Linked DNA regions of Sus scrofa. The protein of the gene in region 3 purifies or fractionates together with the protein of the main gene of each other region. This does not show direct contact. Links are inferred from orthologs where the notes say so. Each region holds a gene or a part of one and is shown on either strand. Other genes may lie near its edges.

Region 1 (7,275 bases), on a different chromosome or scaffold from region 3:
CCTTGTAGGTATTTCCACCAAAGTAGGTTTTAATAAAAATACTTGTAAAAAGAATATACATATATAATTTTTGCTAATAAAAATTGGGATGCATTTAAATTACTAAAAAACCCAACTATAATACAGCTTTAAAAATTGGGAGTTTTGGGGGTTCCTGTTATGGCTCAGTGGTAAAAACTTGACTAGTATCCATAAAGATGCAGGTTCGATCCCTGGCCCCGTTCAGTGCATTAAGGATCTGGCATTGCTATGATCTGTGGTGTAGGTCACAGACGTGGCTTGGATCTGGCACTGCTGTGGTTTAGGCTGGGATTCTGATTCAACCCCTAGCCTGGGAACTCCCAGGTGCAGGCCTAAAAGACAGGGAAAAAAAATTTAGTTTTGTATGTTATTCTATATATACATTAAACACACCATTGCAAGTACGCAGTAGCCAATCAGACAGGAAGATAAACTATCATTAGGGTCCGGGCGAGTTTTCCCTTTTGCATTCTGCACTGCCGGCACGCCTCTAACAGTCTGCTCCTCCTCCTGTCTTCGTTAGCTTTGCCTCTTAAGCCTATTTTAAGAAAATTGGCTAAATCCTCCCTGCCAATCCAGCAATGCTTAGGTGCTTGACAAATCCATTAACTTGTTTTCTAAGGGCACACAGACATTAGGCACTTAAATCAGAGATGCTAGTGATGGAGGTTTCCTAGCTTAAGTTTCCTGGTGGTCATGTTGCCCTGAGCTCACATGAGCCTCCAGAGCAGCAGCAGGGGCAGTTTACTGATTTTTGGCAAGGGCCAGGCTTCTCTTCCCAATGCTCACACCAATCCCAGACTCCCTTCAATCTCGAACAGACCTTGGGATCCGGGCCAACGCTGCTGCAAAGCCACACACACATTAGCTCAGTGGGCTGTGGAAGGAAACCTAGACTCAGAAATGACACTTTCCCAAGAGCTACAGTCCACATTCTTCTGGCTCAAGAAATCCTTTAAAAACAATAAACCAAAACAAAATCCAGCTATGGGGAAATCATCTTTACTCATTAAAATCTCCCTGTGATAAGAGGAACTTTTACAAAATCATGACCTAATGTCAGTGCAGCTGTTGGGACAATCAAGTCCCAAGTCTGTCTACTCTAAGAACCCAGGAGCAAGCGGCTTCATCTCTGAGGACCAAGGATCCACACATCCAGAGGCCCACCAGTCTGTTTCATTCTGATTGTGGCTGACGTGCAATATCTCACACCTGCCTCATCAGGTGTCTCACTGCCTTTTTCTGCCTGTCGTCTAGAACCAGGACAAGCCTCTATTGTCCCATGGGCTGAAGTATCTAGTTCAGTTCTGAGTCAAAGTTCTTGCAACTCTTAGAGATCATGTGGGGATAAAACTTAGTGCAATCACTCAATTCTCAGTTCTCTCAAAACCCCCAGAGACAGAGCTACTGCAGGTTGAGTGAGTCCTCAGCAGGCGATGGCAGCAACACGGCCTTCCCAGAGGCAAGGCTGGTTTGAGTTTACAGGGAAGGAGCATGCAAGGACAAGCCCATCCGGACATTTCTGCAAAGCAACCAGAGATGGATCACCTTCCAAAAACCTTTGTCAAAGAAACCTGGAGATCCTTCTTAATATCACAGACACTAAATTCTCCCTTTCTGGAGTGCTGTCAGTTGAGGGCCAACAAGAAACCGCCAGCTAGAAGCTGTGATTACTTCTAAGACTGTACTGTCCTGCCCTTCCCATCTTCCCTCCAGTGTGGAGCGTCACTGGCTGGACACACTCTGAGGCAAGGAGGGGAGACTGGATTGGGGCAGGAGGGGCAGGTGTTAAAGTGGAGGAAGTGGCTGGCACGGCTGGGGGATGGGCTATGACCTCCATATTGGAGAAGGTGCTAAAGACACAGAGCGAAGGCTGTGAAGAACCTGAGTGCCAGAGGTATCAGTTCAAAGGCATGGCTTTACATAGAGAAACAAGTCAAGAGACATACACAGATGCATTTCCTAACAACACCCCAGAGGCGGTGGCTCTCAGATCTTGGTTTCTAAACGTGATCTGTCACTAAAGAGCATCAGGGCTCCTTGGAGAAATGCTGAATCCAGGACTGGAAAGGGAACATCTCTAATTTCCTTTCACTGCTTTCGCCCCTGCCAAGTTGTGTCCCCTTCTACCGCTTCAGCATTTTCCATAACCTTCTGATCACTTCCAGTTATTCTCGCAGTCCAGTTTGTAGGCTGGTTTTATAAAATGGACCACCTTAATGAGCATCTTCTAAAATTAAAACACAGCCACTAGCTCACTCCACAGCCTGGCCAGAAGGAAATACTGCACCTTTACTCTGACAGCGAAGGCGTCTGAGGAAGTGACCGGGAAGCCCCTCTCCTCCTATTGGTCATTTCTTCAGGTGACAATGTCAGGTGCACAGGAGAGGCGCCTCCCTTCACCTTGGTGCCCACACGTCTCTCCCTGGCAGCGGTGCCCCCCACACCATGCTTCCGTGCCCTCACTCACATCTTCCCTTACTGCGTTAGTTACTGCTCAACAGGACTGAAATTCATTAGTAGCTGTTTATTGATCAATGGTTTGATATAAAGTTATTTCAGAGCTTCAGAGTTTTGCCCAAATGGAATCACAAGCATTACAAAGTTTTTTCTTAAAAATAACAAAAGGGGACAGGTTGGGAGGGACCAACCTGGCAGTAGTGGCATTGGAGAATAAATTAACAAAAAAAATTTAGTATTACCATTTATTGGTGACAAACACTTAAGTTTTACTTACATTCCATGGGGAGAAAAAATGGAAGCAGTACTTAACTCGCAAGGCTACCGTGCTCTTCATCTGGACCATATGCAGGACCTCGCTGCACACGTGTCTGTGCACAGCAACACAACATCCAAAGCAACACAGTTAGAGATAAACATGGGTCATTCTTTTCAGCCCTACATGGAGATGTAATCAACAGTGTAAAGCACTCAAGGAAGATCAATCTGCAGTTGTATATGTGCTACATGAGATCATATCCTGTAGTGTAGTGAAAGCTCTGTGTCCTCAAGAGTCATGTACATACACACAATTTTTAATAGTCTTTGAAACAAAGATCAGAGTTCATTTGTTTGTCCTGCTGCATAAACAAAAATAAAATAGAAAAGGAACCAGATGATCGTTTAAAGTTTAAAATTCCTAAACTGTTCAATTTATACAACTGTGGGAGACTTCACCAAGGGTTCTGAGAAGTCCAGGACTGTTTCAGCTAAACCAGAGGCCACACAATTTGCATCACTGAAATGGTCCTGGGCAGGTCCAATGAAGTAAAAACGTATAACCACATACACATGGATATGATCTTTGCCGGTTATGTTACTGATAAAGTCAGTCTCAGACAAGTTTCTAAACTGTGCTATGTAACTAGATACAATTGAGAAACTCTCAAATGAAAATTTATATAGTGTCATTTCAATCAAAAGAAAGTAATGAAACTAAGAATACATATCTCTTTTGGAAGAGAGCAGTGGCAACGGTGTGGGTACCGCGGGAGGTGGTGGGCCAGAGCACGCCAAGAAGGTCAACTTGCGCTGAGGAGGAAGCATCTGATTTTCTCTGGTGCTTTCAGACTAAGGCCTCGCTCCAGTGTGGGTGTCCAGGATTTGTCCCAAAGTGTTTGAGTGAGCCAGTTGAGGAGTCGTGCTTTCTGCTTCTTTCACACAGCAAGGAAAAAAAAGAACCCCAAAACCAAAAAAAACTACTAAAACCAAGCACTGAGGTGCCTGGGGTACGGACCTGCTGGTTTCCCAGTGGCGCCAGGGCTGCCTGGCAGGCCCGCCCCGCCCCGCCCCCAGCAGCAGCTACTCCTGTTGCCGCCTTGGTCACCACTGCTGTCTCCAGTCCTTTAACCATCATGTCTCTCGGCCCACTGGAGGTATCAGAAATTCCAAATTTTCAAAGCAGTTTCAATATTTTCAGTATATATGTTGGGATTTTTCAACGGTTCATGTGGCCATAAGGTTCAGCACCTCCCACACCTTTAAGGAAAAGGAAAAAAATAGAAATGACCCAAGTTTTGAAATTTAAGAAAAGTAAGCCATATTAAAAATAAAATTAGCAGACACAAGTCTAATAGCCCAGGCCCCAGTTTATGATAACTGGATTAAAGTTTTCCCCAATACACTACAAGTGGAAATAGCAAAGAAGAGAGTGAGTGTGTGCGTGTTTACATAATATGTCTATCGGACATTATCTCGGGGGGGGGGAGAAGATAAGGAAAGAAATATATTTGCACAAAGAAACATGGGAAGGGAACACAAGAAACAATAAAAATGTTATCTCTGGGTGGAGAGAATGATATAGATGAGGACTGCATGAGGGCAAGATTTAGCACTGGGTACACCTTTTTAAAATAAATCTGAGCCATGCGAATGTTACTCAAAATTGGAGAAAAAGAGCTCTCTGCTTAAGGAAGGCTTTCAGAGGAATGACAGAGTGACTGAGATGAGTGTTTCACCAGTGAGCACACGATTTGAATTTAATGCAAAGGAGGAACAGAACTGCTTTTCATATAATCGGCTGACTCACACAGACATTGGTCCATTTCCTGTTCTTGGCATCTCTGTATTTTGTTGGTCCAACTCAGACAGCAACTTTAAAATGTTCAGTGCAGCCTAGCAGGAATGGAGAGAAAAGTTAAAACACGGCACTGTTCAGGACCACGGTCAAAAGATGCTGAATGAGGAGGCGAAGGATTCTCCTACTGCCCCACAAAACTGGTGTTCTCACTAAATAACACTTTCTCATGTTTAACTTCTTAACCAAAAATGTAAAAAAAAAAAAAAAATTATCCAGGAGCCACTGGTGCAGCGGGTTAAGGATCTGGTGTTCTCTCTGCGCAGTGGAGAGAACTGTGCAGAGAACAGCTGTGGCTCAGGTTCAGCCCCTGGCCTGGGAACTTCAACACGCCACGGGTGTGGCCAAAAAGAAAAAGTTGCGCATGGTTATCTCACTGAACCACAACCTCTTAGTTGTATACGTACTGCCTTCTAGTATTTTTAATCTTGTGGTCACCAGCCTGTACAAAGTTCATATCCTGCTATAAAATAACAGAGGTTGTGGAATTCCTGTCATGGCACAGCAGAAACGAGTCCGACTAGGAACCATGAGGTTTTGGATTCAATCCCTGGCCTTGCTCAGTGGGTTAAGGATCCAGAGTTGCTGGGAGCTGTGGTGTAGGTCACAGACATGGCTCAGATCTGGCCATGCTGCAGGCCAGCAGCTGTAGCTCCAATTAGACCCCTAGCCTGGGAACCTCCATAGCTGTGGGTGCGGCCCTAAAAAGACAAAAGACAAAAATTAAATTACAGTCTATCATAGAGTTCCCTTGCAGCTCAGCAGGTTAAGGATCTGGCACTGTCAGTGCAGTGACTTGGGTCACTGCCGTGATGGGGTTCTATCCCTGGCCCAGGCATTTCTACATGCCATGGACGTGGTCAAAGAATAAATTTAAAAAAATAAAAAAGCCTACCATGGTTCCTTGTTAGAATGCATTACTTTCAGTGACATTAATGTGATGGATGCATTATACTCCACCAGGTGAATATGCCAGTCTGTGTAAATTAATCAGTTCCTTTCCTTGGTTTGTAATATTTCTTACAACAATAATTTCATCTGAACAGAACACCAAAACAAGGGGCTTTTTAAGGTGCCAACACTTGGCCCTGCTACTCCTTGTTTCAATAAGAAATGAACTGAATACAGCATCTGGAGAGGGTCCAGGATCCAAGTCTCCCTGCCAGGTCAGCAAGGGAAGGGAGGAGAGTTCTGATAAAGAGTGAGAAGTTAAGGCAGTAACCGAAGAAAAAAGGCTTCCGACGTAAGGAATCTGTGAGACCAGCCACTGTCAGAGTCTAGAAGAGGGCCTTGCCTGAGCCAGCGCACCGTGCGGGAAACGTACCATGTCGTGGCAGGACTCCACATCCTTTCCAATACCATGGCTGATCAGGGGCGGCTGAGAGGAGCAGTTGATAAGAGATACAAATTCGTTCTTGTTGTTTTTGGGGAAGTCTTTGTATTCAACCTAAAGGGGAAAAGAAAACCAAGGCAAGGCTAGGGAAGCGGGGAACGGGACAGGGCCTCGGCTCTGGGCCCAGCAGACAAGACTCCTCTCTCCCTGGAGTGACCTGGCTACACCAACTCCGGCTCAACAGGCACTAGAGACTGTCGGAGGGGCCAAGAGGCACCTGGGCTGAAGGCAGGTTACCAGGGCCCCAGTTTGCAGAATCTTCTAGGAACCTAGATTCTACTTAAAAACCTTCCTCTGGAAGAAGCCATGTCCTTCCTACCAGGCAGAAAGGGCCAGCACAAGGAGTCTGTGCTCACTGAAGTCTAAATGTGTAACTACCACCGAATTAGAGGCTTTGTTAATATGGTTGGTCTGGATTGTTAAAATGTTACTACCAAAGGTTGAGGATTCTCTTACCATCCAGGCTTCCACTACCTTCCACAGCAGCACCACCCCCCTCCCTGACCTCAGGACCACCCTTGACCAACCGTCCCCAACCATCCCCCTGGACAAAGATTTTGATTTAAAAAAAAAAAAAAAAAGGCGGTGGAGTTCCCATCGTGACTCAGAGGAAAGAAACCCGACTAACATCCACGAGGTTGTGGATTCGATCCCTGGCCTTGCTCAGTGGGTTAAGGATCCTGCATTGCCGTGAGCTGTGGTGTGGGTCACAGATGCGGCTTGGATCCCACCTTGCTGTCACTGTGGTGTAGGCCGACAGATGTAGATCCAATTTGACTCCTAGCCTAGGAACTTCCAAATGCCGTGGGTGCGGCCCTAACAACAACAACAAAACCACAAACGAGGTACTCAGATCTGCGAGGAAGCAGAGATGACTGCACTGAGGTACAGGACACAACTCAGGCCTCACAGTTACCTGGAATCCCTGGACTCTGGAGAGATAGTCCAGCTGCTCGGACGGTCTCGTGAGGGGTCCATGGGGTACGTGGCCTGAAGAGATGTTATTCTTTAAAATGGTCTCGGCTGTAGGCGAGGTGCCCCCATACAACAATTCACGGGCTATCATGGCAGTTACCGTGGCCTTGGCAGGATTTGGAGCCACCCTTGTGAAGTCTTTGGTGTGATGTCCTTGACTGACCCCTACGGCCTGGGCAACCTCAGGCACCATGGGAAGAATTCCAGCAGGCAGCTGCTGATGACTAAGATAAGGCATCCTAAACTCGTCCTCTTTATTGCCTGGAGAGGGAGGGACACACGACAAATCAACACAAGTCCACATGTGCTG
Region 2 (8,060 bases), on a different chromosome or scaffold from region 3:
ACTCTTACCTGTGTAGCTTCTGGTTGTACAGAAACTTGATTAGGCTGAGCAAGTCTAGATTCAGAATGAACTGCAAAATTGACCAAAAAAATTGTCATAAAAAAAGTTCTTCAGAGATGTATAAATACCTTTTACTTGGTTGCTAAAGTCAAATTTCCATAGTCAAAAAACTTTTTTAGTAATCATGAAAATAAACGGGAAAATATAGGTAAGATTTTGGTTTTCAAGTGAGCATTTTCAACTCATTGCCAGTCATTATTAGTCAACTGTCAGAATGGCTTTCACTTTAGTCAAGCAACATAAGGTATTATCAAGACAGTACTAAAAATGAAGTATAGAGCAGAATAATAAGAATCAATGCCAGTGTTATCCAGAGTCTTTTAAAGCAGCAACTATTAAGTGGCATTGCTCTTACACAAGACTTTAGGTAGATAGTATCTAGTGACATTTTTTTTTTTTTTTGTCTTTTGTCTTTTCGTTGTTGTTGTTGTTGCTATTTCTTGGGCCGCGCCCTCGGCATATGAAGGTTCCCAGGCTAGGGGTCGAATCGGAGCTGTAGCCACTGGCCTACGCCAGAGCCACAGCAACGCGGGATCCGAGCCGCGTCTGCAACCTACACCACAGCTCACGGCAACACTGGATCGTTAACCCACTGAGCAAGGGCAGGGATCAAACCCGCAACCTCATGGTTCCTAGTCGGATTCGTTAACCACTGCGCCACGACAGGAACTCCATCTAGTGACATTTTAACATTATTAACTTTCAATACAGTTTCAAATTTTTCCAGGACTTCCCTAGTGGCCTGCCTTGTCACTACTGTGGCACAGATTTGATCCCTGGTCAGGAACTTCCGCATGCTGAACACGTGGCCAAAAAGGGGGGGAAAAAAATTCTAATGTTTCCACAAGGAATAAATAAATAAAAACACACCTTTAAAAGCCTACATACAATTTAGTATACATATTATTGCCAGCTCCCATCATCCTTTCAATCCCTTCCCAAATCACTTTTAGACAGATAATTAAAACAAAGTATCTTAGGAGTTCACAGTTCAGTGGTTAATGAACCTGACTAGCATCCATGAGGACGTGGGTTCAATCCATGGCCTCGCTCACTGGGTTAAGGATCCGGTGTTGCCATGAGCTGTGGTGTAGGTCACAGACTCCGCTCGGATTTGGTGTTGCTGTAGCTGTGGCACAGGCTGGCGGCTACAGTTCCAATTGGACCCCAAGCCTGGGAACCTCTGTATGCCGCCCTAAAGAGACCAAAAAAAAAAAAAAAAAAAAAAAAAGTATCTTAAAAAAAAAAGAAAAAAACATATAGTATCTTTGGTTAGTCATTTGGAAACAGTTATTTTCATTGGAGTGTCTAATGAACTCAGCATTACCGGAATATCTAAATAGCTTTACAGGTTATGTAAGTGCTGCATTTGTGGACTGGCACAGCTAAAACTATTTGTTTTCTCCCTCTGATAGAGCTCAAAAAGTGAACACTAGTAACTCTGATTCCCTGGCTCTGTTTTCTAACTTTTTTTTTTTTTTTTTGTCTTTCTGTCTTTTTGTTGTTGTTGTTGTTGTTGCTATTTCTTGGGCCGCTCCTGCGGCATATGGAGGGTCCCAGGCTAGGGGTCGAATCGGAGCTGTAGCCACCGGCCTACGCCAGAGACACAGCAACGCGGGATCCGAGCCACGTCTGCAACCTACACCACAGCTCACGGCAACGCCGGATCATTAACCCACTGAGCAAGGGCAGGGACCGAACCCGCAACTTCATGGTTCCTAGTCGGATTCGTTAACCACTGCGCCACGACGGGAACTCCTGTTTTCTAACTCTTGGTGGAGAGATATAAGCTCCATTTCTCTAAAGTAGAGAAATCCTAACTACGTTACCATATTAATTGTGTTCATTAAACATGTTTTTACCAGCAACTCCTTTCATGACATTTAAGATTAACAATATTAAATGTGCTACTTTATATGGTTCCACTTTTATGTCCTTAATGCTGGCCTGTTCTAGGAAAAAACAAAACTCAAAATTACTAAACTCAAAAGAGATGCTCCACTGAACACAACACCACGCACCTACCCTATTTAGTATGTTGATGTTTCAAAAACTGGTGTAAAAACAGTAGTTTGAAACTTCAGCTGTCTTCAGTCTATCTTTTCTCCTTTCCTCTTAAGCATTCCCTAAATCACTTCGCTACTGCATCTCATATTTTTATTTAAGTAATAAAATGTTCAGAAATTCTAAAAAGCTGCAATCATCCTTCAAAAAAGACACTTATTTTTATTCCTAGATTAATTTTGAAATAGGAAAAACAGGTCCATAGTTCTGTAAGTCAGGAAGTGGTTAATAAGGGGCAAAGAGGAGTTCCCATCGTGGCGCAGTGGTTAACGAATCTGACTAGGAACCATGAGGTTGCGGGTTCGGTCCCTGCCCTTGCTCAGTGGGTTAACGATCCGGCGTTGCCGTGAGCAAGGGGTTGCAGATGCGGCTTGGATCCTGTGTTGCTATGGCTCTGGCGTAGGCCGGTGGCTACAGCTCCGATTCAACCCCTAGCCTGGGAACCTCCATATGCTGCGGGAGCAGCCCAAGAAATAGCAAAAAGACAAAAAAAAAAAAAAAAAAATAAGGGGCAAAGAGAGAGGGAGGACAAGTAGGCTTCTGGGGTACTGATAATGTTCCACTTCCTGGGTGCTGGTGTGTTCAAGTTTGTGAAAACTCACCGAATTGTAAATCTGCATGTACTTTTTTTTTTTTGTGGCCACCCTGCAGCATATAGAGTTCCCAGGCCAAGGATCAGATTCAAGCCAAAGTTGCAACCTAAGCTGCAGCTATGGCAATGCCGGATCTTTAACCCACTATGCTGGGCCAGGGATTGAGCCTGCATCCCAGTACTCCCAAGACACCACCAATACCATTGTGCCACAGTGTAAACTCCTGCATGTACTTTTATGTATGTCTATTTGCCAGTAAAGTTAACATGATGGAACTACATTTAGTGTTCATATTACAGAAAAAAAAGTAATATTTCCTATAAAATTAAAAGATACAAGATCTAAATATTAAGCAAGCATTAAAGAGAAAAAAATTAATTTTCACAAAGTTCACAAAAACCTGAAAGCTTTGGCTTTATCCTTTATTTCTCAAATGAAAATGTACCATCACTAGAGTTCCTGCTACGGTGCAATAAGTTAAGGATCAGACTGCAGCAGCTTGGGTCACTGTGGAGGTGTGGGTTTGATCCCCAGCCCAGCGGCAGTGGGTTAAGAAACCAGCACTGCACAGCTGCAGTATAGGTCACAGCTATGGCTCAGATTCCATCCCTGGTGGCTAACTTCCATATGCTGAGTGTGTGACCAAAAAACAAACAAACAAAAAGTATCATTACTAACCTGGAGGGCAAACCAGTTGGGGTATGTCCATATTTTGGGCTGGATTCATAGGCTGTGCAGATACAATGGCAGGATCAAGTGTCTGGTTTTCAAAATCCAACATTGAATCCTACAAGTTAGGATACAATGGAATTAAATATGTAAACGCTTAAACCTTCTGTTATAGTGTTTGACTAAAAATGTAAACGCTTAAACCTTCTGTTATAGTGTTTGACTAAACCACACCTACCTGTATGAAATTATAGGGCCCCTGCATTTGCGCCATAAGGTCCTGTACTCGTTGTCTTCTCACGAGAGGATCTGCTTGAGCCACTGGAGTCAAAGAGTGAGGCTCTGGTACTGAAGGAGATGCAGCCTGAGGTTGCTGCTGGAGTGAATTTACCACCTAAAGGGGAATGGATTGGAACAGTGACAGAGGTCCGTCATCATGACCAGTCCCCAAATTACATAGGCCATCTATAGTGTAAACAGAATAGCAGACTCAAATGCAGTCAACCTGACCAAATGATGCTAACTTTAATGTTCTGATCAATGCCACTTCTACAATGTTCCCAATTCCACAGGGTCACCATGTAGACTTTCAGATTTACCCCGTAAACTGCTTTCAACAAACTATCTGTGCTTACTTCCTAAAATCATGGATTTTACTTAAAACTGTTAAGCCTTTACATTAAGTAAGGCTACATATCTATATCAAACATAAATCTATTCCACTACCTGACATATGCTGAACATTCAAGAAATGTTGACTATTATTATCATGAAGCTTGAGCTCCCATCATTTCATTCTCTCTGCAGATACCACAGCATCAAGCTCAATCATTTCATCTAGACTGCCACAAAAGCCAAAGCTCATTCCACCTATCATTTTCCTAGTTCTAATAATTTCTCCTGATTATTGTTTTTAATAACTCCCTGCTCTGCTGAGAAATCGCACTAATTTTTAATTGCCTCAAATTTATATTCCTTTTCTGGCTTTTAAGCCTGAGCAAGTCATACCAGTTGAGCCTGGGCAAGACATAACCTTATCTCCTTTATAAGCAATACTGAGATAACAGAGACTGGTAATCAACAGCACTAGGATGGAGGAGGAATCTAAAATGACACTCCAATGTATCACTCTGTAAGGTAGGTCTTTCTGAAGGCTATCCAAGTGGAAACTCAGATTTTTATAGAGCAACCTGATAAAAAATCATATACTTTGATAGACAGATTAACCCCCTAAATTACACACAGATATTTGTATAATTTCCTTTTTTTTTTTTTTTTTTTTTTTTTTGTCTCTTTAGAGCCACACTCGCGGCATATGGAAGTCCCCAGGCTAAGGGTCAAAACGGAGCTATAGCTCCTGGCCTACACCACAGCCACAGCAACAACAATGCAAGATCTGAGGCAACACAGGATCCTTAACCCACTGAGCAAGGCCAGGGATTGAACCTGCGTCCTCATGGATACTAGTCAGATTCGTTTTCACTGAGCCACAACAAGAACTCCAATATCTGTATAACTTCATATAACTGGATCAGCAAAGCAGTGATTATATTAAATATCCACAGAGATAATAAGCAAACCATCTTTGAAACAGAACAATCTGAGTTTGTTATTATAATAAATGTACTAACAATACAAAATACTTAATCTAAATCTGTTAATTAGGAAATAAAAATTACTATTAAAGACAAAAGACATCAACCTTGTAACAGAGAACTCTTACCTCAACTGTTTCGACTGTCCACTCATCTACCTGCTCCTTTTCACCACTGCTGAACTGTGTTTCTGCCATAAATTGTCTATTTACATACTGCAAAACAAAATAAATATTTGAGACCTCTGTTTGAAAGGCAGAAAGGAAAAGACAGCATTAAATAAAAATCATACCTCTGTTGATTCGACTTCACTTTGTTCAGTGTATTCTTCTGCTGGCTCAGGTTCTAAGAGGTTAAAAAAAAAAACGAGACAAAACAGTGTGAGTTATCTTTTCTTAAAGTTAACAATTAATTCAATCTCCAAAACAATTCACCATCACAGTTTGAATTTATTTAGTTATAGTCAACAGTCAATTTCTATATTTTATTATTCTTACAATATATTTAGAAAGTTTTCCATTTATTCCAAAATAAATTACTTTATTTTAATAGGAGTTATTCCAGATCAAGTATAAATGCCAATAAAACAGCATCCAATTCTCCATTTTAATCTACTTGGTAAAATGAAAGTGATAAGGGGTGGGGGGACAACAACTGTCCTATGTTGCTCTGCCACCATAAATTCCATCAATGTGCAATCTTCTCTTCTAGTTTCAACCTAATAGCTAACACTACTACCATGCCTTACCATGTGCCAGGCACCATATACATGTATTACATATAACTTCCTAAGTGGAGAACCTAAGGTATGGAGAAGTTTGGTAACTCGCCCAAAGTTACACAAAGTGTTGTAGCCAAGATTTTATCCAGGCAGTCTGATTCTAGAATCCATGCTTTTAACCCATTACAAAATGTATACCCCACCAATAATTTCAATAGTACTCAAAATTTTACTCAGCAACTTAAGTTATCATAGAAATACTCATAATAAGTGCTTACCTACATATTAGTGATGTGCTGGGTGCTAGAACAGAACTCTGGCAACTGAGGAATTTATAGTTCAAGATCATGGAATTATAATCCTCCATCATTAAAAAAAAAAAAAAAGAACAAAACCTCACACCATTCATGTCATATACTGGCATGGTAAACGGCAATAAATCTAGGCACATCAGTCAAAAATCTATTTGAAAAGCCTTATAACAGTTGCCTCTCATCCATACTCCAACCCAGCAATACTGCAGCAAGAGAAAACATCAGTTTGTAATTGTGATCAAGATCAGTAAGATAAACAACTGATATTTAATACCTCAGGGAATTACTCTTAATTTGCTTTATCTTAATAAGTGATCATGCTTAAAGTTTCTTTAAAAATCTAAGTGTACATACACAACTAAAGAAATGTACAGCTTGAACTTGTAGTAAAGGAAAATAAAAACAGGACCCTAAACTAAAGCTCACATCCATCTGAGTACTCACCAGCTTCAGCTACCTGGTCTTCAACCGTCGGTGCTGAGGCTGCCTCTTCTTCCTCACAGAGCCCATTCTGGTGGTTGTGGGTGCTGTCAAAGTAGTTTGACTGGAAAACACGCTCAACAATTTCCTTTAGAGCTTTATCTAAAAACAGAATATGAATTATAATCTTGGACTATCTAAGGATGCCTGACTTGAATAAGATTCAACATTCTACAAAATACTGTGGTGGTGGGGGGGAAACCCTCATCACCACCTAAAAACATTAAATTCCAACAGATACTTATAACAGAATGATAGGAGCCAAAAAACTATTTGTAATATTCTTCTTCTTTTTTTTTTTTTTTTTTTTTGCTTTTTAGGGCTGCACCCACAGCATATGAAGGTTCCCAGGTTAGGGGTCTAATAGGAGCTACAGCTGTCAGCCTACACCACAGCTCATGGCAACGCCAGATCCTTAACTGACTAGGCGAGGCCAGGGATCAAACCCGCAACCTCATAGTTCCCAGTCAGCTTCGTTTCCACTGCACCTCAAAGGGAACTCCCTATTTGTAATAAACTTTAAGTATCTTAAATAAGTTAGTTCAAAAAGAGCTAACAATTACCATTTATTCATTCAATAAACACTTATTTAGCACCTAACTATGTGTTAGGCAATATACTAGGCACTGGAGCTACAGAAAGCTAAGTAAAAGATACAGTATCTACCCTCCCTAAGCTTACAGTCCAACTGAGAAGAGTTATCAAACACAAAAACAGTAAAGTTACATCTATGAAAAGTACTACACAGAAGTATAATGGATTGGACCTAGTTAGGGAAAGACCATGATAGGCTTTCTTGGTGTTAAGTACTGCAAGAGCTGAGATCTGGAAGATCAGTAGAAGAAAGGAAAGAAGTGCTTCAAGGCAAAAGCAACATCATTTACAAAGGCCTGTACAAAGAAGGATGCCAAATGTATGAAAATTAAAGTATGCATTCAAGCTGACACCTAGAGAGTAAGAAAAAGCATAAGGAAAAATGAGTCTGAAGAGACTCATATGGGCCAGAACATGCAAAGTCTTCAAAGTCAAGGATAAACGCCTAACAGATGTGATTAAAATAAAATCACTAAAAGACTTTAACGAGGGATGGGTGGTGGTAGATTTATTTAAGAGACTGCATAGACAAGAAAGGCAGAAAAGTAGAGAAAGAGAAGTAGATTCAAAAGATATTTTACGAGTTCGTGTCGTGGCGCAGTGGTTAACGAATCCGACTAGGAACCATGAGGTTGCAGGTTCGATCCCTGGCCTTGCTCAGTGGGTTAAGGATCTGGCATTGCTGTGAACTGTGGTGTAGGTTACAGATGCATCTCAGATCTGTGGCTTTGGCATAGGCCAGTGGCTACGGTTCCGATTAGACCCCTATCCTGGGAACCTCCATATGCAGTGGGAAGTGGCACTAGAAAAGGCAAAAAAATAAATAAATTTTAAAAATTAAAAAAAATAAAAATATCTTAAAGGCAAATAAAACTGTCAGAATTTGGTACACGAAGACATAAAGGGCACATGAGAGCAGTGGAGGAAGGTATCTGTCAATTACTCTCAATTTCCTGGCCTGGTAGAGTAG
Region 3 (8,694 bases):
CAGAAATTAATAAAAAATAGCAAATGTACATCTTTCATAAAAATCTCAGGAAAATCTCAACTCATTCAATTCAGGAAAAAGAACTCTGCCTGACTGATTCAAATTCTTTTAAAAACAGATTATTGAAACAAAAATAACTACAGAAAGTACTTCATCATCTTTTAAGGATTTAAAATTAAAAAAACACCAACTAAGCCAGCTGTGCACTTAGAATTTTTTAGGCTCAATATCATGAAAATTATTTGTTCCATTAAGGTAAAATAACTAAGATATCACATACTACTTTAGGGCCTAAAATTAATTCCACAAAATCAGAACATGTGCTCACATGACAAGTCCCACAAATGAAGATCAAACAGAATACGAAGTAAAAATGAAACCAACAAATCAAGTCAACAAAAGCAAATAAAAACATAATATATACTTCAACTGAATACAAGCTACTTAAATGAACTAATTAATTTTTAAGAAATTTACCACGTTAGGAGTTCCCGTCATGGCACAGCGGAAACAAATCCAACTAGGAACCAAGAGGTTGCGGGTTCAATCCCTGGCCTCACTCAGTGGGTTAAGGATCTGGCGTTGCTGTGAGCTGTCGTGTAGGGCGGCAGCTGAAGCTCTGATTAGACCCCTGGCCTGGGAACCTCCATATGCCACAAGTATGGCTCTAAAAAGCAAGAAAAGAAAAAAAAAAAAAAAAAAAAAAGAAATTTACCAAATTAACTTACCTACTTCTAAATTAATGCCTACCAATATCTTAGAATTAGATTTAATTATTCTATTAATCTATACATGTTTATTAATCTATTTCATGTTAAGGAAATGGATACTACACCAAAGCAGCAAAATTTTGAAGGGTTTATTAAATCAAGTGGAAAAATCATGAATCCATTCTAATATAGCTTAAGGAGTTCTGAAAGTTTTTTTAAGATTTAAATTATAAATGTTAAATTTTTTTTTGTTTTAATAAAGGGGTGTGTTGGCAAATACAATTCAGTCCCTTACAATTGAAAGGAAAAAAAACAAAAACAAAAAAAAAATTTTTTCCTGGACGAGAGGCTAGAATCTAACGTAATATAACTTAGACATAGCACTCTTCTTTTCTAATGTAAATAGAGATACACTCCGCGCCCCCCCAAAGGCTATAAAGAAACCTACAGATTTGCATGAGTGTCCAACTGTAGGAACTGAACGCCCAGGCCTACTACTTTATTTATATGGCTGTCTGACCTTGGGTGACGTACTCTAGACCTCTATTTACTAATCTTAAAAAGGAATAATAATAGTAAACATTCTCACAGGGTGCTTGTGAAGATTAGAGATGAGAGTAAATATTAAGTGCTTTGCACAATACCTGGCACTATACTAAATTAAAGGTGTGCTAATAAGAATTAACTGCTGTAACTTTTGACTATCAGCTAATTTAAAATAAACATAGCCAACTCTCTGAAATCAAGTACCAAGATTCCAAATGCAAATCCAATAGGAAATCAAGCATGTCAAAAGAAAATCCAGAAGTCACTTACTGGATCTTCAGATGGGTAGAAAAAGACAATCAGTACTTGGCAAATTAATTTTCTTCATTAACACAGAATTCTGATTTGTAATCTGAGGTAATTACTCAATATTTCCTGAATATCTATCTAGTCAAAGAAAAATACAAAAAACAAAACCAGGTACGGCAAGGCCAGTATTCTATTTTGTAGCTGATTATCTGTAATAACACCCAGGAAGACAGTCGAATAATTACTAGCTACTTCTGAAAAATCTCAAAAGTTTCACCATTTAGAGCATATTGAGAGTTGTAAAGACAATTTTATGTGCACTAACCATTTCAAATGTAAATTTTCTAGTGGAATGAAGTTTGACTGAAAATGCAGGGAAAAGAACTGGACACCCTTTAAGTGTGCCTATTAACTTCAGAATTTAGCTAATTGTAGACTATATACAATAAACATACTAGGTAGCCAGTGTCTTACTTCCAATGTTTTTGAAAGCTCTGAAATGGGCAAGATGACAAACAGACAAAAAGCAGAATACTAGAACAATCAGTAAAGGTGAACACTACAGTCATAAGTTGGTACAGGCTTCAATTAAACTGTATGAACCACTTACAGACTGAAAGCTCAGGCAGTGTATTTTTTTGATGTTTTCTCTTTTTTAAAAAAACAATGATACTTTATAATGCCATACTACTTTGTGCCTTTCCAAATTTCTTCCCTAAAATATTTTTGCTAAATAAAATTTTAATCTTTTAAAAAAGAATATTTTTTTGGTTATTTTAAGAAGCCTTTTAAATGACCACATATATTGGTAAAGCCAACTTAATCTGTATTTCACACACCCAAACCCCAAATACCACCTCTGTAGATGATGAATGGAGATCTGGCGTTTAAAGTGGGTGTCACTGACATTTAATACATTTTTTTTGTATATTTAATCCATAATTTCTGATTGACTCATTTTTAAAAGTATAAAAAAGATAAGCAATTGGCAATGTAACAAGGATACAATCCAATGTGTTCACAGATTGGTTACCTGTGAGACTGGTGCTTTAACATGGGGTGGAATTCCAGAGGAAGAAACAGTACCACTAGGAGGCAGGTTTTTACTGGTCACTGAAGCCCAGGAGAAAGCCTGCAGGAAATGCAACAAACCTAGACTACTAATCACGGAAAACCACCAACATTCCTATAGGGAAACTTCCAAATATATATTTTCTTTTCATTTCTAAACTATTGCTTTATATTGGAGGACTCCTAAAAGAAAGGCACACACACACATGCCAGTCTATGTGCCAGCTTTCAAAATCTCATTATGCAAGAAAATTATTTGACTGTTTTGTCTGAACTACTAAATAAATCCACAAGCAAGTTCCTATATGCTCTAAGTAGATGAGCAGGTTCAAACAAAACCACTAACAACTACATATGCTAGAAAAATAAAAACCTATTAGAACTAATTTCCTTCCCCTTCTGGGGACGACAGGGTGTTGTGACGGTGTTAAGGGGAGAAGGGAAGGATAGATAGGAAAGAAGAGAGTACCAGCTGGAAATTTTAACAGACATTCACAAATTGAACAAGGAATCTCCTTCTCTCACTACCCAAATATACTTTAACCTTCTACTTTACAGAAAGATAAAAGAGGTTTTAAGGTAGGTTTAAACAATACCCTACGGGTGTCACTCATCTTTCCAAGAGTTTCATTGGTGTAGTAAGGAAGCTGTTCCCATTTAAACCAGAAATAACATATATCACTCCTTTCAATAATAAGCCAACTTGTTTTAGTTGGGATATTGCATGACTCCTACTGCATCCGTGCATAGAGGGCTGAATACGGAATGGAAGAGCAACTCTCAGCTTTACATGGACTCGAACAACTTCAATTAAGATACTAAACATTGCATACAGACAAGGATTCATCTTAAATTTTACTCTTAGAGGTGTTTTTCAGGGGATAAAAATACAATTTCCTCGGAATTAAAAAAAAAAAAGCCATAGCTTCTTTCATATACATAAAAAAGAATAGTTTACTAGTAAACAATTTACCACCACAGAACAAAGGTCATGCTTCATTAATGGCACAAAAGATGAAAGTGCGATGCTATAGGTCTAAAGAGCTCCTGTGATCTAACCTTTGGTGGTTCCTGTGGCAGAGACACAGGTTCAGCAGGAGGAGGAGAAGTAGACTTCTCCTCTAATTCTTCTAAGTTTTTCTCCTCCACTTGTGGTTTCAGCTCTTCAGTCTTTGTTTCAGATTCTGGCTCAGGTTCAGGTTCATGAGAGGATTCTTCCAAAGGCTCCTCTATGCCATTACTACAATAAAATATTTTATTCACTTTTCAATATGAGTGAAATGACCCATTCAAATAAAAGAAAATATAGCATTTCTCTAACAGGCATAACTAATAACAAGCTGTTCTGAAGCAAAAATTTAAAACTAGAAGGCAGAGGAAGTAATACTCTCAAACAGAATTTCTTTTTTCTGGCCGCAGGCATGGTGTGCAGAAATTCCCCAGGGCCAGGGATCAAACTCATGCCATAGCAGTGACCAGAGAAGCCACAGCATGAACAACCCCAGGATCCTTAACCTATTAGGTCACCAACGTACACCTCAAGTGGCATTTCTTTAACATCTGTTTCTTTAAATCCATTTAAAAACAGGATTACTAAAAATGTTTATCACTTTAGCACTAGTTATAAATAAACCCCATATTTAAAAAATAAAATGCTGGAGTTCCCGTCGTGGCGCAGTGGTTAACGAACCCGACTAGGAACCATGAGGTTGCGGGTTCGGTCCCTGCCCTTGCTCAGTGGGATAACGATCCGGCGTTGCCGTGAGCTGTGGTGTAGGTCGCAGACGCGGCTCGGATCCCGTTGCTGTGGCTCTGGCGTAGGCCGGTGGCTACAGCTCCGATTCAACCCCTAGCCTGGGAACCTCCATGTGCCGCGGGAGCGGCCCAAGAAATAGCAACAACAACAACAAAAAAAAGACAAAAGACAAAAAGACAAAAGACAAAAAAAATAAAAAAAATAAAAAAAATAAAATGCTGTTTTGTCCCAGACACTATACATTAGTAGTAAGTGATCAGTTTTGGACCAAAACATGTTCAATTTTTGAATTAAATAAAACAACATTTTCCAAATTTCTTGCATATACACAGTAAATACTCAAATGCTGGCTTGTTATTGATAGTGTCAGCAAAAATTTACTTCCAACAATTCCAGGTACAAAAACCACCTTGCAAATACATTATAGTTTAGAACAGATTTGGCCTTGCAAACACTATTCTTACGTCACAGGGTGAGCTTCATAGTAACCACTGTTAGTTTCCTGCACAGGTTCTGGAGTTGGTTGCCTTTCTTCTTGTTCCTCTTCTACTTCATCCTCTGATTCTGACAATATATAAAATACACCACATCTCTTTTTAAGAGGCTTAATACACAATTTGATAGGTGTATTTTAAATGTGTAAAGATGTCATATGATAGTGAACTCCATGGAATTGACTCTATTTTTTAAAAACACCTATTAGTAAGAAAAGGGTAGTAAAAATGATATATAAAGTCATAACTCAGTTTCCTTCATCACCATCTATTCAATGGAGCAATAATAATAAAGAAAAGGAAGCAAACTGGTATGTATCAATGGAAGATCAATTAAATAACTGATCTTAAATATTAAATATGGATTAAAAAAAATCAACAGCCAACAAAGATACAGATATATTAAAGGAAAAAAAGAAAAGAAAACAAAAAAGCAAGCTTTGAGCTAGCATACTTCCACTTTTATAAAAGTAATGATCAGTGTAAGATATAACCAAATTCTGTGATAGGCACTAAATGCTTGGTTGCCTTTAGAAGATGAGATTGAGGAAGTTTTTTTCATTTTCTATGTCTGACTTATAATCATAAAAATTTCATAAAATGAATATCTATAACAAGAATCGGGAACAGGAAAGGAGAAAAGGGAGTTAGCCTCAGTTATAACAGAGGCAAATTTATTTGTTTCATACTTTGCAGGTCCTTAAAGAATATCCATACTGACAGAACCCTTGTATCTTAAAAGTAACCTCACCTTCATCAAGTTCTGGTTCAGAATCACCAAATACTTCATCTTCATAACGAAACATATCATTGTGAACATAAAACTTATTTGGAACAGATCCCTGTAGGAAAATAACATCCAAATATTCCATTAATACCCATAAATGTAGCATTAAATTAAGAAGAATAAAAACAATTTCTATTTTAACAGTACAGAAATAATCTTTCAAAGTTGAATGTGCTATGATGTTAATACAAAGCAAATCACAGTAGATTACTCAAAACACTGAAGCTCAAGAAATGTCTACTAAACATAAAAGAACCAGGACTAATTTACATATGGGATGTTCCCATTTTGTTTATAATATGTAATCTATTAAATATAATAATATGCTTTTAATATTATCTCTGTAGTCTTAATCATCTATTATCAGGACCTCACTTTTACTGAGAAATCAAAGCACACACATAAAGCTCAAGTAAAGTAATCAACAGATCCAATACAGATTTCTCAAAAACAGCTACATGCAGGGAGTTCCCGTCATGGCTCAGTGGTTAATGAACCCGACTAGCATCCTTGAGGACGCAGGTTTGATCCCCGGCCTCGATCAGTGGGTTAAGGATCCAGCATTGCGGTGAGCTGTGGTGCAGCTCTCAGATGCAGATCAGATCTGGCATGGCTGTGGCTGTGGCATAGGCTGATGGCTACAGCTCCAATTCAACCCCTAGCCTGGGAACCTCCATATTCCATAGGTGTAGCCCTAAAAAGACAAAAGACAAAAAAATAAAAATAAATAAAAATAGCTACATGCATATCTGTGCCTGTAAGAAGAAACTCTGGACACTTCAAGAAACTATTAATAGCAAAATAAAATCACATAAATGAGGACTTCCCATTGTGCTCCAGAAGAAACGAATCTGACTAGGAACCACGAGGTTGAGGGTTTGATCCTTGACCTTGCTCAGTGGGTTAAGGATCCAGCGTTGCTGTGAGCTGTGGTATAGGTCGCAGACAAGGCTTGGATCTGGCATTGCTGTGGTTCTGTCGTAGGCCAGTAGCTACAGTTGTGATTAGATCCTTAGCCTGGGAACCTCCATATGCCGAGGGTGGGGCCGTAAAAGGACAAAAAAATAAAAATAAAAAAATAAAAAAAATAAAATAAAATAAAAAAATCACATAAATGAAAAATTAATAGAAGTGAAAACTTACTTCAGGAGCCAAAACAAAGGTCTGCATAAACTTCCTCTCTGGCTGTCCGCTATTAGACAGCAAACCCATGACCTGGACAACTACTCCATCACTCAAGGTTGCATGAGCATCCACATGACGAATTTTAGTATGACATTCACTGAAGTTCAGAGACAATACTTTGTGGTGTATATCCTTTATTAGAAAAAGAAAGTAGGGAGGAAATACAAACTTGTGATACTGCATTACCCATTCGATACTACAAACTTGCACTGATTTCCTCACAACTCTAGAATATTGACTACTGAACCTCTCTGCCTTATTTGAATCCATTACACCATGTTATGCATTACTGCCAGACCAAAGTTCCTAAATCCACTAGTTTCAACATGTCACCTCTCTATAGAAGAAATCACAATGCCTGTCTCATATTACAGGCTTTATACCGCTTTCTCCCACTGTTCTGTATTAAGTATTCAGTCATTCACACGAACTGTGTGGACTACTCCTTGACCTCATACCTAATTTTACATTACTGCTTGTCAGCTGGTGTCATTTCTTCTACTTGCAACTTACTCTTGCTTGGCAAGTTCAAATGCTATGACTCAAGAGTCTCACTGAAGTTCCACATCCTCTACAAAATCGTAAGGTGTATATAATACTGTGCATTACTTTAACATAAACTTTATGGGAATCTGGGGTTTACAGATGCAAACTATTGCATTTGAAGTGGATAAGCAACGAGATCTTGCTGTATAGCACAGGGAACAATATTTAGTCACTTGTGATGGAACATGATGGAGGACAATGTGAGAAAAGCAATGTGTATATATATGTGTGTGTGTGTGTCTGACTGGGTCACTTTGCTGTTCAGTAGGAAATTGACAGAACACTGTAAACCAACTATAATGGAAAAAGTTAAAATCATTAAAAAAAAAAAAAAGCTTTCTACAGTGTCTCAACTGTTTCATACTTAAAACACACCAAGGATATAAAAAAAGTCCCACTCTCCTTTGTATCCAACCCAAATGTAATACTATGCTTCATACAAAATGGGTGTTTATAAGAACTCAACGCACACTGGACAATTACTGTAACAAATTCTAACAAATTCTAGTGCAGCTAATTGATCACATTCAAGAAAAAAATCCATGGGCACAAGAAGGCTACTTTCCAAATCTCTATCTTAAAATTCAAAAAATAAAATAATCTAAATGTATATGAAATTGATACTTACATTTTGTCCATAAACAGCCTCCTGGGGCTTTCCACTAGCATCTACTCCACCATGAACATAGGAAGAATTCCTACCATAAAACCTGTAAAACCATTGATTAAAAAAAAAATTAAGATGCAGTAGAGTTCTGGTGTCAAGCAAACCTAGTTTCTAGGTAACTTCTCCATGAGGTTGTACAGATTAAATGACTAATGATGCAGAATTCTTCATGTGCCTAGCATGCTAAATGTATATACTCAATCATTAGCTATTCTCATCTAATTCTTACCACATCTATACTTTGATAAGTGGAGAAATGAAATGTTCAAAACATATTCTAAATACTGACATTGTAGTAATTTACCCATTTTTTCCCGTCAGATACAAAAACTCAGTTATCTAGATCTGCCTGGGAATCAGCCACTGTTTAGCACTCTACTCAAGAGTTTGAAATGATTACTAATTCAAAGGCTTAGTTAAAAGTTTAGATTAAAATTAACTGAAATACTGGAGTTCCCTTTGTAGCTCATCAGTTAACGAACCCAACTAGCATCCATGAGGATTCAGGTTCGATCCCTAGCCTCGCTCAGTGGGCTAAGGATCTGGCATTGCCGTGAGCTGTGGTGTAGGTTGCAGACACAGCTCTGATCCTGCGTTGCTATGGCTCTGGTGTAGGCTGGCGTCTACAGCTCCATTCAACCCCTAGCCTGGGAACCTCTATAAGCTGTGGATGAGGCCCTAAA

What was found. The genes of interacting proteins can lie anywhere in the genome.
Region 1: the proteins of G3BP2 (region 3) and STAU1 purify together in Homo sapiens (affinity purification with mass spectrometry; 3 studies listed by BioGRID and IntAct, with this or other methods). This does not show direct contact. The link is inferred for Sus scrofa from reciprocal best matches to the Homo sapiens genes G3BP2 and STAU1.
Region 2: the proteins of G3BP2 (region 3) and CAPRIN1 purify together in Homo sapiens (affinity purification with mass spectrometry; 5 studies listed by BioGRID and IntAct, with this or other methods). This does not show direct contact. The link is inferred for Sus scrofa from reciprocal best matches to the Homo sapiens genes G3BP2 and CAPRIN1.

The regions. Positions count from the first base shown.
Region 1 is NC_010459.5:50,802,431-50,809,705, forward strand, and holds the end of STAU1 (double-stranded RNA-binding protein Staufen homolog 1), read right to left. Parts: intron 7,227-7,275; coding exon 6,907-7,226; exon of another isoform or gene 6,045-6,906; coding exon 5,922-6,044; exon of another isoform or gene 4,636-5,921; coding exon 4,550-4,635; intron 4,000-4,549; coding exon of another isoform or gene 3,984-3,999; exon of another isoform or gene 3,686-3,983; coding exon 3,592-3,685; 3' UTR 2,529-3,591; downstream 1-2,528. UniProt on the Homo sapiens protein: Binds double-stranded RNA (regardless of the sequence) and tubulin.
Region 2 is NC_010444.4:26,842,398-26,850,457, forward strand, and holds part of CAPRIN1 (caprin-1), read right to left. Parts: intron 6,599-8,060; coding exon 6,461-6,598; intron 5,327-6,460; coding exon 5,274-5,326; intron 5,197-5,273; coding exon 5,110-5,196; intron 3,781-5,109; coding exon 3,625-3,780; intron 3,505-3,624; coding exon 3,396-3,504; intron 71-3,395; coding exon 9-70; intron 1-8. UniProt on the Homo sapiens protein: mRNA-binding protein that acts as a regulator of mRNAs transport, translation and/or stability, and which is involved in neurogenesis, synaptic plasticity in neurons and cell proliferation and migration in multiple cell types.
Region 3 is NC_010450.4:71,280,638-71,289,331, forward strand, and holds part of G3BP2 (ras GTPase-activating protein-binding protein 2), read right to left. Parts: intron 8,055-8,694; coding exon 7,973-8,054; intron 6,931-7,972; coding exon 6,757-6,930; intron 5,669-6,756; coding exon 5,578-5,668; intron 4,897-5,577; coding exon 4,797-4,896; intron 3,817-4,796; coding exon 3,636-3,816; intron 2,638-3,635; coding exon 2,539-2,637; intron 1-2,538.